Linked DNA regions of Macaca fascicularis. The protein of the gene in region 2 interacts with the protein of the main gene of each other region in a pairwise test. Links are inferred from orthologs where the notes say so. Each region holds a gene or a part of one and is shown on either strand. Other genes may lie near its edges.

Evidence for each region. The genes of interacting proteins can lie anywhere in the genome.
Region 1: the proteins of KHDRBS2 (region 2) and PRR3 interact in binary tests that used the Homo sapiens proteins (3 or more experiments, as listed by UniProt). The two-hybrid records come from large-scale screens. The link is inferred for Macaca fascicularis from reciprocal best matches to the Homo sapiens genes KHDRBS2 and PRR3.

Annotation. Positions count from the first base shown.
Region 1 is NC_088378.1:142,095,966-142,103,276, forward strand, and holds the start of PRR3 (proline-rich protein 3), read right to left. Parts: upstream 3,800-7,311; coding exon 3,694-3,799; intron 3,433-3,693; exon of another isoform or gene 3,277-3,432; intron 2,969-3,276; coding exon 2,906-2,968; intron 1-2,905. Other genes in the region: GNL1 (guanine nucleotide-binding protein-like 1), read left to right, coding at 4,960-5,032, 5,448-5,613, 5,973-6,109, 6,249-6,400, 6,518-6,589.
Region 2 is NC_088378.1:112,614,994-112,622,332, reverse strand, and holds the start of KHDRBS2 (KH domain-containing, RNA-binding, signal transduction-associated protein 2), read right to left. Parts: upstream 3,910-7,339; 5' UTR 3,671-3,909; coding exon 3,580-3,670; intron 1-3,579. UniProt on the Homo sapiens protein: RNA-binding protein that plays a role in the regulation of alternative splicing and influences mRNA splice site selection and exon inclusion. Binds both poly(A) and poly(U) homopolymers. Phosphorylation by PTK6 inhibits its RNA-binding ability.

The DNA.
Region 1 (7,311 bases), about 29 Mb from region 2:
AATTTTGCCATTCTGGTGAGTGTGAAAAGTGGTGGTTATTTTGTTTGGTTATTATTTATTTAATGAGAGATTGGGTCTTGCCACATGCCCAGGCTGGTCTTGAACTCTTGGGCTCAAGTGATCCTCCCACCTTGGTCTCCTAAAGTGCTGGGATTACAGGCATGAGTCATCATGCCTCGTTTTGTTTGCTTTTTATTGTGGCAAAAAACACATAAAATTTACCATTTTAACTATTTTTAAGTGTACAGTTCAGTAGTGTTATGTATATTCATATTGTTGTGAAACAGATCTCCAAGTTTTTGTTCGTTTGTTTTTTGAGATGGAGTTTCGCTCTGTTGCCTGGGCTGGAGTGCAGTGGCGCGATCTCGGCTCACTGCCACCTCCGGCTTCTGGGTTCAAGCGATTCTCCTGCCTCAGCCTCCTGAGTAGCTGGGATTACAGGTGCCCACCACCACACCTGGCTAATTTTTGTATTTTTAGTAGAGATAGGGTTTCATCATGTTGGCCAGGCTGGTCTCGAATTCCTGATCTCATGATCCACCTGCCTTGGCCTCCCAAAGTGCTGGGATTACAGGCGTAAGCCACCATGCCCGATCTCCAAAAGTTTCTTATCTTGCAAAACTGAAACTCTGTACCCATTAAACAAAACTCCCCCTTTCTGTCTTCCTTCCCCCAGCATCTAGTAACGACCATTCTACTGTTTCTTTGAATTTGACTTTATTTTTATTTTTTGTTTTGACAATCTCACTCTGTCATTCAGGCTGGAGTGCAGTGGTGCAATCTCGACTCACTGCAACCTCTGCCTCCCAGGTTCAAGCAATTCTCATGCCTGAGCTACCTGAGTAGTTGGGATTACAGGTATGCACCACCATGCCCAGCTAGTTTTTCTATTTTTAGTAGAGATGGGGTTTCGCCATTTTGGCCAGGCTGTTCTCGAACTCCTGACCTCAAGTGATCCACCTGCCTTGGCCTTCAGTGTGCTGGGATTACAGGTGTGAAGCACCACGCCTGGCCCCTGAATTTGACTTTAGACACCTCAGATAAGCAGAATCATACACTATGTCTTTACTGAACATAAAGTCCTCAAAGTTCATCCATGTTGTAGTATGTGACAGCATTTTCTTCCTTTTAAGGCTGAATAATAATCCATTGTATGTACACGCCACATTTTGTTTATTCTTCCATCAGTGAACATGTGGGCTGCTTCCACCTCTTTGTTATTGTGAATACTGCTGCTATGAACATGAGTCTGCAAATATGTCAAGACCCTGCTTTCCATTTTTTTTTTTTTTTGCTATATACCTGGAAGCAGGAGTTCTGGGGTAGTTCTATTTTTAATTTTTTTTGTCATACATACATATTTTTAATTGCTTAAGAGGAATCTCTTCATATTGTTTTATATAGTAGTTTCACCATTTTATAATCCCAGCAGCAGTACACAAGAGTTCTAATTTCAAAGTGGTATATTTTTATCTTGCATTTACTTGACGATTAATGATATTGAGTACTTGTTGATTTAGACTTTTAGTTCATTTAGAGCTCCATTTTAATAAGGTGTCCTTTTTTTTTTTTTTTTTTGATCGATTTTTCAAATGGCTTGTCTGGAAGAATCCTTTATATATTATAGATAAAGGATCTTTATTGGTTATATTTGTTGCAAATATCTTCTATTGTATAGCTTCCTGTTAATTTCTTAATGGCGTTATTTGGCAAGTTTATATTTTCTTTTCTTTCTTTCTTTTTTTTTTTTTGAGACAGTCTCACTCTGTCACCCAGGCTAGAGTGCAGTGGTGCGATCTCGGCTAACTGCAACGTCCGCCTCCAGGTTCAAGCAATTCTCCTGCCTCAGCCTCCTGAGTAGCTGGGATTACAGGCGCACACCACCACATCCGGCTAATTTTTGTATTTTTTAGTAGAGATAGGGGTTTCACTATGTTGGTCAGTCTAGTCTTGAACTCCTGACCTCGTGATTCGCCCGCCTCGGCCTCCCAAAGTGCTGGGATTACAGGTGTGAGCCACTGCACCTGGCCGCAAATTTATATTTTCTAATGGAGTTCAATTTATCAATCTTTCCTTTATGGTTAGTGTGTATACCTACATTTCTTGTCTGTTTAAGAACTCTTAGCTACTCTTAGAAAATACATTTACTTTCTAGAATAATTATTCTCTTACCTTTTATACTTAGATCTACAGTCCATTATACAATATGATTATGACTACAAGGTGAAATTCCATTTTTTAACATGAATATCCAATTGATCCAATATCATTTATTGAAAAGACCAACTTTCCAGTTCCATCTTCATCATAAATGAAGTGTCCACACATGTATGGGCCTGTTATTGGACTCTTCGGGACATAAGTCCTGTTGACTTATGTGTATCATTGTGTCCAAACTGCATCGTTGTAACTACTGTAGCTTTATAGTAAGTCTTTTTTCCTTCTTGTTTTTATAGACAGGATCTCACTATGTTGCCCAAGTGGCCTCAAAAACTCCTGGGCTCAAAGGATCCTCCTACCTCAGCCTCCTGAGTAGCTGGGACCACAGGCATATGCCACCATGCCCAGCTTACAAATCTTGATATTCATAGTACGCACTCCCACTTCAAGATTGTTTTGACAGTCTCTCACCTTGATATTTTGCATTTCCCTATAATACTGTGTATTTCCACAAAAACATTATGGGTGTTCTGACTTGGAATGCATGAAGTCTATACATCAATTTGGGAAGAAGTGACATTTTTACAACATTGAGTTTTTCAGCCAGCAAATATACAACTTCTCTCCATTCATTTAGGGATGGAATCCCTGACCTTTTGATTTTTAAGTCCTTCCTGGGTTTTATCCCCTCCCTTGCCGTCTTATCCGCGACCTAATACAAGGATCAGGGCCCCTTCCTCCTCACCTGACTTAGGGTCGCCAGGTTTTCCATTGGCCATGGGGGGAGGGCCCAGAAGGCTGGGTGGTCCTAAGAGCAGACATGAAAATATGGTCATCAGAATGGATTAAAGGACTGATGATTCTGTTCTTAGGCGTTTTTCTTGTATTACTCATTTCTTAATTCAACCAGTAAAGTCAGGTATATTTTCAGCAGTCTTAGGAGTTCTCACCCCATCTATCTGCTCTTTTTTCTGCAAAGCTGTTTCAGGGTTTGCAAAAAGTAGATATTCAATCAAAGGCGATAATGCAGGAAAAGATACAACTTTTTCTTTTCCTCACCGTACCGTCGCTATCCAAAACAACCTAAGTGTCTCCAGACATAAACCAATCCCTCACCTTAACTGCTGGCCAGTCAGTTCTCTTCTCCTTTCACTCGGCCAGAGGACTAGTTTAGAGAAAGCGGCACCTGTACCTTTTCAGTCAAAATCCGGATACAAACTGTCAACCCAGTCATCGCAATCTGCAACATCTCTACTGCCCCTTTCCCCTACTGTTCTGCGGCTGCGCAAAAGAGCTCTTTACTCTCTCCACCCCCGCGTTCCAGAAAGGTTTGGGGCCGTATTGAGGTTGACGGTTCCAGTAAGAGAACTCCTGGTTCAAGGCTCCATTTGGGACAGCCCTGCTGCCATCCCTACCCAGCGCGTGCGCCCTTCCTCCTTCCGTTAGAGCCCCTTCCTTCGCACCTTATTAGCCCCTAGCCCTTCGCCCGGACGGGCTTGACAGGCATGTGCACATCCCTCCCTGACCCCTCACCGATGGGACTCCCATCCTCCTCATCTCCAGTCTCTTCCCGCTCGGGCAGTGGGGGTTGCTGCTGTGTCGGTGGCTGGTGCTGATTCTGCTTCTTTCGTTTCGGCATCGTGGCTGCGGCAATGGCTGCAGCGGGATTTGGAGGGTAGTGAGGAAGGGGCACGCGGGGATTCTGTTTCCGCTTCCGGGGGGTCGGTGGGCAGCAATGCCCAAGCTCCCACCATTCCACTTCCGGAAGGTTGCGGAGAACATCTGTGGCGGCCGCATTCTGGAGTAAACTGCCTCTCTCCGTCTCTGCCAGGCATGGCGGCAACCTCACACCTTCCCTTTGCTGCGTTTCTATAAATGCTTTGAAAAAATTCCGCTCTTCTTCCCTCGCTGGAAAACACCACAACCAGCTCCTCAGAGTGTGTCACAGAGTCAACAGGCTCTCGGGCCAGAAGGCCTGAGAAGAGGACTGTCGCACCGTAAGATCGCCACATCCGGTCCTCGGTTACTATGGTAACAGCTGCAGGCACAACTTTGTGCCCTTTGACCTCCCTCCAAAAGCCCTTGTCCCGCCTGGGTTTCGCTTCTCGCCCGCTTTTGCACTTCTGATCTGTAAACCTGCTCCTTATCATCGTTCCCACAAGGAATTTGGGTCCCAGCAGGTCGGCAGCCAGGACTCTTCAGACCGCCGCCCTCCCCTAAAGACCTCTGACCGTGCCCCCGGTGTAGCCCAGCAACCTGGCTTCATTCCCGGGACGCACCGTCTCGGCTTTCCACTAAGGTCAAGCCTGGGGGTTGGGAGTGTAGCCTCAGCGAGTCCACTCCTCCTCTCCCCTAGGTAATAGGCCCCGCCCTCCGCTCCGCCGCCCCCTCCAGGTGAGTGGTAGCTTCTCCCGGGAGCGCAAGGTAGTGATGACACGCGCTCCCCCCTCCTCCGAACGCGAGTTGGTAGCGTCCGTGACGGAGTTAGCCTGGTCCTCCCACGCGCGCCTCCTTCCTCGCCGCCGGGGTGCTCTCTCCGTGCCACTGGCTCTCACGTGCCAGTAGCCCACCCCGCATCATCCTTTCGCCTCGCTCCTGGAGGGAAGTGACTGTGTATCTCCCCTGTCCGCCTTCCATCGCCGCCGCGGCGGCAATTCGGTCGGGCCCGCCCGCTGACGTCACCTGCTAGCTCCGCCTCCTCTAGGGTCCCGGGCCCCTGCGGCGGGGACTGCCCCGGGGGGCAGTCAGTTGAGGCGGCAGGAGCTCGGCGGAGGGCGGGCCAGGTGACTGGTCCGGGCCATGCCGAGGAAGAAGCCCTTCAGCGTGAAGCAAAAGAAGAAGCAGTTGCAGGACAAACGGGAGCGGAAGAGAGGTCAGTGCGGGAGCTGGAGGAGGAGGCGGGGCTCGGGCTTCCGCACAGCTGGAAGGAGGGGTGTGCCCGCTGCACCTCTGGGGGTCGTGGGAGGGGGTCGTGGGACCGCGCCAACCCTCGCGGCCTATCGCGGAGGGGATCTCCCACACCACCCCCCCACATCTGGAAGGGGTGGGGAAGGATGGAGAGTTGGGGGAGGGGAATCCCTCCAGCTCGCACGGGGCGCCGTCCCTACTGCTCCCTGGAGGAGTGATTCCCCCCCACGCACATCCGGGAGGGTCCCGAATAGGGTGGTTGGGAGGACAGAGCGTCGGAAGAAGTTGAGTGGGATGAAGAAGAGTCAGACCGGTGGGGGAGAGGGTCTTATGGCCCCTGAGAGCTGGCCAGCACTGGCGTCACCGGCCCCTCCCCGCAGGGCTTCAAGATGGGCTGCGCTCCAGTTCCAACAGCCGCAGCGGGAGCCGGGAGCGGCGAGAGGAACAGACAGACACCTCGGACGGGGAGTCTGTGACCCATCATATCCGCAGGCTTAACCAGCAGCCTTCTCAGGGGCTGGGTCCACGAGGCTACGACCCAAATCGGTGAGGGTGGGAGGGGGCGCTGGTCCCGGCTTTCCCGCCTACCCGGAAATCAGAGCTTTGGGGGAAAGCGGGCTGCTGCTGGTGAAGACGGTGGGCCTGCGATGCCACAGTTCTCCGCTAGCCCCTCGGCTCCCCAGTGCGGGCCACAATCTTGCTTTCCAGAGGGGCTGGAGAGAGTTGGGCTTTTAGAAGGAGGAGGCTGAGTATTGCCTGAAAGAAGGACTTGGGGGAAGGCTGATTTGAGAGAGGAGACTTGAACGACGAGAGAATGCTTTGCGAAGTTGATTGTCCAAGAGGGGAGAAAATAGGAGTTTGTGGCCACAGGATTGCGCTGGATGTCTCGGTCCCTGTTCCCTTAGATACCGACTGCATTTTGAGAGAGACAGCAGAGAGGAGGTAGAGAGGAGAAAGAGAGCAGCCCGGGAGCAAGTTCTACAGCCGGTCAGTGCTGAGGTGTTGGAGCTGGACATCCGGGAGGTCTATCAGCCTGGCTCAGGTGAGTGAGAGCAAGACAAGTATTGGGCTGGGGAAGGAGTTTGGAAAGGTAAGAGCCTAGTGTGAGGATGGAGGGGTCTGGGATGTACTCTTGAATCCTAAAAATTCCCTCACACTTGGACTTTTTCCTGATTTCCCAGTTCTGGACTTTCCTCGACGTCCTCCTTGGAGCTATGAGATGTCCAAGGAGCAACTAATGAGCCAAGAGGAACGGAGCTTCCAAGAGTATCTTGGGAAGATTCATGGGGCTTACTCCTCTGAGAAACTCAGCTACTTTGAGCACAATCTGGAGGTGACAGTGTACTCTAGGGACAGGAGTGGGGCATAGTGACCAATGGTCAAATTGGCTCGGGATCAGGCTTGAGAGGGACTCTGTGTTCAGGTTCTCTTCCTGATCTTGTCTTTTTAGACATGGAGGCAGCTGTGGCGTGTGTTAGAGATGTCTGACATCGTCCTGCTTATCACTGATATCCGACATCCAGTGAGTACTAGGAATAAGGGTGGCCAAGGAGGAGGAGGGAGAAAGGTTTTTCAGGAGCAAAGGTCAGAGGCAAGAGTTGGGAGACAGGTATCTATTTTCCTGTCTTTCTGACCTCTACCTAGTGCTGATGTCTGCAGTTAGGAACTCAGTTTTTTATTCTCTCTTATAGCCTGTCACTCCTCCCTTGGCCAGCTCACTCTCCTCTTCAAAACAGCCATGTCCTATCCTTTAACTCATCACAGTTAGACCAACAGAAAATCCAAGTGTGGAGCTCCAGGGATTCTATGAATGCAATTGGGGGCTTCCTCCTGCCCAGCCCAAAGATGCCCTTTCTTCCTTATCTCATTTCTCTAGTACTGCCGCATCAGTTGCTACAGAACCCACCTGGAATCGTAGAGTAGTAGTTAAGGCTGTAGACTGCTGCTGGACTGCCCTGTATGAATCCTAGCTCTGCAACTTCACTCTTGTCCTCCAGTGGGAGAAAGGGAGGTCTGTGAGGACCGTTTAGGTTGGAGGTCCTTAACAATGTGTACACACACACATGTACTGACACATACATCATGTGCACATCAATATACACAGGCATGTTTGCACACATGTTCACAGTCACATTGTTAACACACGAACATGCACACGAGTGCATGTACTTGCATGTGTACACACTTATATAGTTGTGCGCACACAAAAGCAGACTAATTGTTACCCTAACACCCATCCCTATT
Region 2 (7,339 bases):
AAAAATAAAGGCCAAGTCTAGATGGGAAGTCAAACTTTTCACTAAAGTTTGAAAATAGCACCTACAGTTTTTCGAAAACCATTCGAACTGCTGGGGTATTTGGCAGTGTTTGACATCGTCATATAATGCTTGCAAAGATTTCAGGCTAGGAAGTCTTCCCCAAACCGCTCTCAATTGGACAAAAATTTCTAATGCTCCTAAGAATATGGAATCACTGTAATTGAATATATAAATCCAAACAGATCTATGTCTGTCAGCAGACATAGAATATTTCCAGACAATATTCTCATGTATATATATTTTTGGCCTCAAACATTAATAGTAGTTCAATAGACTTAAGAACATAAATCTGTCCCCAATACCCAAAATAAAATATACACCTCAAATTACATTTTAGTGCCATAAATATATTATTAATCATTAAACTAGGAAAGAATGAAAAAAGTTTTGAAAATGTGCAGCCATTGATTTTTTGTTCCGAATATACAAACATCACTTCGTTGTATCCATCAGTAGTCTGAGACTTAATTAGAATTGCAAAAACAAAAAAAAACAAAAAAAAAAACCATATACATCACTTAGTCCAACTCCTTAATTTGAGAGACAAGGAAACTGGGCCCAGGGAAAGAAAGCTTACCCAGATTCAGTTGAGGTTAAAGTGGAATTCAAATCCAGGTATCTAGATTCACAGTTTAATGCACTTCCCAGAAGCAGAATAGATATAAATAACCTCATGTAATTTCATCTGGCAACCAAATTCAGACTCTGAGTAGAACTTTAAAGATAGTCCTGAGTTTGCTGTTTTATCATATTCAAAAGCACCTACCATAACAAGTGGATAACTAAACAACATTATAATCGCAGGACGAACATTATTTTAATTATTTAAGCATACTAGAAACAAACTTCAAACTACATTATTCAAGATTTCTTCTGAGTAACAATCAATTGAAATCATTCTTATGGAAAACACACAGCAGAAACAAGTGAAATAAACTACAATGGACCCCCCAAAAACCCCAAATAAACATCCAACTAGTACTTTCAACCCCACAGCCTTCAATTCTACATGCAGCACTGTCAATTGAGCCCTGATTTGCATCTATCACCAATCAAAATGCAAAATAAATCATTGTGAAAGCTCATTGGTTTATATTACTGCCTTTATAGATATTAGCTTCCGGAAAATCATTCTGAAGAACTGAATCATCTGTATCATTTTTATTACTCATTCAGGCTTGACACTGTCTGCACAGTACTGACTGAAATGTACTTCAGTATGCACCTTCTCTCCAAATGAATATCTATGTCAGGTTTATTTATAGCCACTGCCTTCAATCAGTGCATTCTCAAGTATAAGAAATAAAATCACCTCAATGATACTCTTCTATAGACATCTGAAACTATGTGTGGACATCTTGGCAACTGGCCTTTGGAAAGATAATGAAAGATCTATACCATAAAATATACATTAAGATCATTGAGATTCCAAGAACAATCATCTTACACTCTTTAATAAGCACATGTAAAGAGTCCCAAGTACTGAGGTAATCTAAAACTTATGCATCCTTTTGCATAACTCTTTATGTACTCCAAGATTATTATAACCTCCTCCATTCTCTTTTCCTTATGCTGATTTCTCTGAAATTTAGGTACCCTCTTTGTTTCTTACTTAGATGCTTTCCTCTATTCAGGAGCTTTTCCTTCTAATTCTTTACAAAAGCAGGGCATGCTTCCCCCTGCTGGGAAAAAATCAAATTACAAGGAACATCAGAACATGTTCCTAAGTATTATATCAAGAAATCAAGTTCCTAGGAAAGATAAAATGTTAAGGAACCAAGTGCATAGCCTTCTCTGACTGCTTTACCAGACAAAGAAATACTTATGCACTCTGTTAAGAGTTTCTTGTACGCATTTATTTAGCTTGACCGCCTTCAAGTACAATAACTCATATTAATGACTGATGAATTAATCTTTGAGCCACTTGTCTCAAATAGAACTCTAATTAGCGGGTCAGAGAGAACGATCAATTTGTAAGTGTTTTTTTTTTTTTTTCACTTTAAAGACATATTATCAGCTACATAAAGAAATTTCTGGAAAATACATTGAAGACTATTCAAAATATATTAAAGATACTGAAGACTGGTAAGACTTGCCTTTTAAATCATTTCAAACAATCTTAAACATCTATTAACTCATTATTTTGCTATTATTTTTATGTAGTTGTCTTTTTTGAGAAAGCAAAAAAGTGCATTTTTATTGACTTTACTTTTCCACTTTAATTTCTATTTTTTTCATTCAGTAACCAAAGTAGTAGGCATAATTGTATTTCACCTTCCCACTTATCTATAAAACAAGCTTTTTTCCCTGAAAACAGTTCAGTTATTTCACATGTTCCATGTTTTGACTATAAATCTTTTTCTAACTGTTTAGCATTTAAACATAAAAAAAACCTTACACTTTATTGTTAACATAAATAACAATCCATCAATTAAAAATATAGCTAACACCGATTTAAATCATATATTGAGGAGCAGAATTTATTCTTCCTTGGTACAACTAAGTCTCAAAAAAATCTTTTAATACTGAGGAGCTGGGGTAGAGGAAGTTATCCCTTTTAGTTTTTTGCTGTATGTAAGTCCATAACAACCTTAGCTACAAAACTGCACTGTAACCAATTTGATGATGAAGCAATTCATTATTAATGAAGCATTCATCTAAAAAAATCTGCAGCTGTTTTATAAAAGGCATGTGTAAATAACTACAGATATAGGTGTCTTGAGTATTTAGATGGCATTATTATAACATAAACGGAGTAATTTGGTTAATAAAGTTTGTGTGTCTTTTTTTTTTTTAACCTTTCAAAGCAATGCAAAAGACAAGACATATATGTTCCTCTGGGAACGAAATCTCCTTTAACATTACAGGTACACAAAAGAAAATGCACACTTGGTAAAACAGTTGATCAATTATAGAGCGTTCCCAGGGACCAGTATCTCGCAGAGTACCCAATCATCACACTTCAAATAAATGTATAAGCACTTTAGCCTCTACTTACTACATTAACATACATATAAGAACATGCACAGTTTAATGCATAGGTTAATTCTAACACTTTCCATAGGATAGACTTTGATTAAAGGGCATCAAACATCACTTCCTAAATGCAGTAAAAAATAAAAATAAAAATACTGATCTGTAGCCAAAAAGCTCTTAGAACACTACATTGATCACCATTGACTTCCAAACTGCTTTCCCCTCCCTCAGCGAAGTGAAAATGTCCCTGTAGACCGCGTTACACTTTACGGTTTCTCTATCAACGATCCTAACAGGTCACATCGCCACTGCCATTAGATCTCCGTAGCTTTGGTCTTCTCCAAATTAAGACGTGGAGAAGGAGCACTGCTGTCCGCCCCAAGAACGGGGTCTGTCCGCCCGAGCTCTGAGACGAGCATCTTCAGGGGGACAGTTTCTGCGAAGGCGGCGACAGGAGTCCCTCCCCAACTTCACTCCCCTAATCAAGCCAAGGGTGAAATAGGCAGCCGGCGGTTTGTGCCCATCGGTGGGGGCAAGTCCTACCTTCTGCCAAAAGGCGCGATGCATGCACAAAAGATGGATCCAGGCTATCTTTCTCTGCCATCAGCTCAGGCAAATATTTCTCCTCTTCCATAGCGCGGACTTCGGACTGTCCCCGGGCGAAGCGCGAGGTTCCGCTCGCTCGGACGCAGGGTCGTGGGGCAGCGCCTGGCTCCCGCGCTGCTCCTCCTCTGCGCGGCGAGGGGATCTCTGTGCGTCCTCACTGGCCCATGCACCCAGCACCTGCGACTCCCGCCGTCGGGCTGCGTGGCCCCGCGTCCACACCTGCCCGTCCCTTCCGTCGTCCCTCGCTCGCGCCGAGCCCGGGCTCACACCAGCGGCCTTAACTGGAGAGGCGGGAACAGGGCGCGGCCCACCTCCGCCAACCACTCATTGGTGGTGATGCCAGGAGAGGCGGGGCGCTGGCGAAGGCCGCGGGCCCTCATTGGGCCGTGGTGCACGTCGGGTCGCCTGACTGGCAGGAGGCAGCTGCAGAGGGGAGGGGAGCTCGGAAGATGCAAACGCTTTCTTCTTGCAGCCCAAGCCTTCCCTGGCTATTAGGCATGCCCAGTTCTGTGGAGCTCTCTGTGTCTTCAGCTAAGGTGCAGAGGAGAGAGAGGGCGGGAAAAGCGCCAGGTTAAACAGAGAGGTCTGAGTCCAAGTGGACAGGGGAGATGGAGATGAGAAGTGAGCCGCTGAGAGGGTGGAAAAGCGCCAGCGAAAGTCTCAGGAAGGTAGATGGGACTTCACCTGCGTCTCTAAGGCACAGGTGTCTCCTTTCCCTCACACAGCTCAGACGCACTACAGTTGTGCAGGAATCAGCAGCGCACTGGGTCTGGAAATATAATGAAGACTGCATGTGATCGGCAGCTGGTATTTCCGATGACCTACATCTCAGATAGGCAGTAGGATGTTCATTGATAAACAAAAAAAGCGGCTCGGAGAAATATTGTGCAGAAACATTCTTCCGGTGTAGAATCATTGGGATATTGAATTAGTTCTGGTAACCTATCTGTCCCTCCTTTCCCCAGACCCTATCTGTGGAAGGCAGGTTGGGAGGGGCTTAATTTAAAAACATATATATATATGTGTGTGTATATATATATATGTATGTATATATATATATATATATGATTCATTAGTCACAGTTTGTGAAGGAATTGGGAAGACATGTAGAAGAAGAGACTAGAACATAGGTAATCACGTTTGCTCTAATTCTCCCCTTTCTCCTCGTTGTATATGTGCCAGTCTCTTTCACCAGGTACTGTTGCTGAGCTACTTTGTATTATCCCACCTCTATTTAAAGGAAAGTTAAACCCTCATGATATCACCAACTGTGACCGAAAAAAAGCCCCATCCTTCTTTTACCAATGTGGCCATAAATGTAACTTGCATTCCTCAATCGCTAGGAAATAATCTTTCCCCAAGTCTTGGGTTCTCTTTTCATAAGCAGTCATTTCCTGATTCTTTCCCCCATTACTTTTGATGTAGAAGAATGAGGGCCAACTTTTCTACAAATAAAATATGCTGAAATTTTTCCAACTTCTCTTACTGAATTTAAATATTTTCCTTTTTATTTAATTTTTAGATAAATTTAGGAGATTATCTTTTATTTATATAATGTTTAAATAATGTAACGTGCCTCACATCAATTATTTCAATATGTCCTCGCAGAAGCACTCTGAAAGATGCCAGCCAAGTATTACTTTCTCTGTTTGTATAAATATGGGAACTGAGGCAAAACAGAGAACTTGTCTCATGACTAGTGAATGCTGAAGTTGAGATTAAAATTCAATTCCATATTAGCACCATTTAGATCCAGATTATACTGCTTCAACCTACCTTTCTGTGTGTTAAATATTTAATTTATTTGTGCATGAGTGCATTCAATAAAAGTTTATTGGATACTGAAAAGAGTCTAGGGACAGTACTTAAAATTGGAGAAACATTGATGAACAAGATACACATTCATTCCTTGTCATCACAAAGATATTTTCTAATGAGAGAAGACAAATAAAACCAAGTACACAAGAGAAACGGTAATTGCTGGCTGCAATAAAGGTCAAGAAAGAACCAAGGAGTTAAGCAAGATACTACAAGGGAAGACATTAGTTTCTTTATTTTTAACTAGGGTAAACATACAATCTCGATAAGCAGCTGATATTTACGGTGAAAATTCATGAAAAAGATTGAACCAAGTGTGTGCAATGTGCAAAGAAAGGCATTCTAAGCACGGGAACTTGCCACTGAAAAAGCCCTGTGGTGGAAAGAACTGTGCTGACTTTTGGAATTGACTGGTTTCAATGTGACTACTGTAATATGGGAAAGAATGGAATCAATAAGAGTGGGGGATTGATGTGTACAAACATCCAGGATTCGATGAATGAAAATTATTTGGATTTTATTCTAAGTGTAATAGGGGACTATAAAGTATTGGTGTCTTTCTGGATGTTCTTCTTAATCTCTTTCTGATTTTTACGTTACTTTCAAAGAAGCTATTATTTAGAAATGAGTACATATACAAAAAGTTCTTGCTATTTTATCGGTGTGCAGAATGTTTAGTAGTTGATGGGTCATGCATCCTGCACCTGGTCTGCAACAGGGATATAAAGGGAAAATATGCTTCAAACTTCAAAGAGGTGGCTACGATTTGCTATTGTAGTCAAGGATGAATACGATGCCAATCACAGCCAAAAAACTGTAAATATTTTCAAATAAATGTAAATTAGAACAAAATATTTTACAATAATTACAATAACATTTTGCATATCAAGAGATTAGAAGCATATAGTGAGGATAGGGACGTGCAGAAACCCAGTTTCATGAATGAAGATGGTGTAGGAAATCTTATAATGTCCAGCAACAACAATTACTTTATTATTCAAAGCCATCTTTTCTATGATTACAGGATTAATAAGATACCACAGAGAGCTGTCCAAGTGCTGACTTTATTATATAACGTCTTCAAGTCATTATAAATATAGTCACGTTATTTTTCTCTAGTTAATATCAAAACTAAAGATTTATTATTTGTAGTTCCTCAGGTAATCCCTCATCAAATACCTAAAATGCATTCTAACAAAGCAATGTATTTATGTAACCTAAAAAATCAAAAGAAAATAAACTCTAACCTAATCTTTAGAAAAGTCTGTGTACTTAGTACATGATGGATATTGTAAAATAAAGATATATAAATATATTGACCCTTAAAAATCAATGTGCTTCAGAATTAACTCACAAAATATTGCCCATTTTTAAACAGAATATGACTAAATAAAGGTAAACACCAAGGGCCCTACATATACACTCATCCAGCATCAGATCCACGTGTTTTCAATAGATGGCTCTGTGTTACTACATGTTTTCCATTTATTTCACATGCAAATTTTTTATAGGTACAACATTATCTTTTAATATTCTCAGAGAAACCTTGAAAATGCAAACATTTTATAAACATGAATGTAAGCAGAAAAACTTTAAAAAATGATTGTTGAATATAGAATATTTTGTGTTTACCCTTGAATAAATTATAACTGAATTGATTTGCCTAACTTAAGTAAACACGACTTCTAGCCCCAAAACACTTTTAATGGAGTTCTAGTAATTTTAACATTATTTTAAAAATGGAATTATTATAGAAAATTTTGCCCCAACCAGATTTGGTTTTGGAGGATGAATAAGTCATGCACCATAGAATAAGTTCTTTGGTTAAAACACAAACTGTGTTTTCAATATTTTCACACACCTTTGTAAGAAAGGTCAG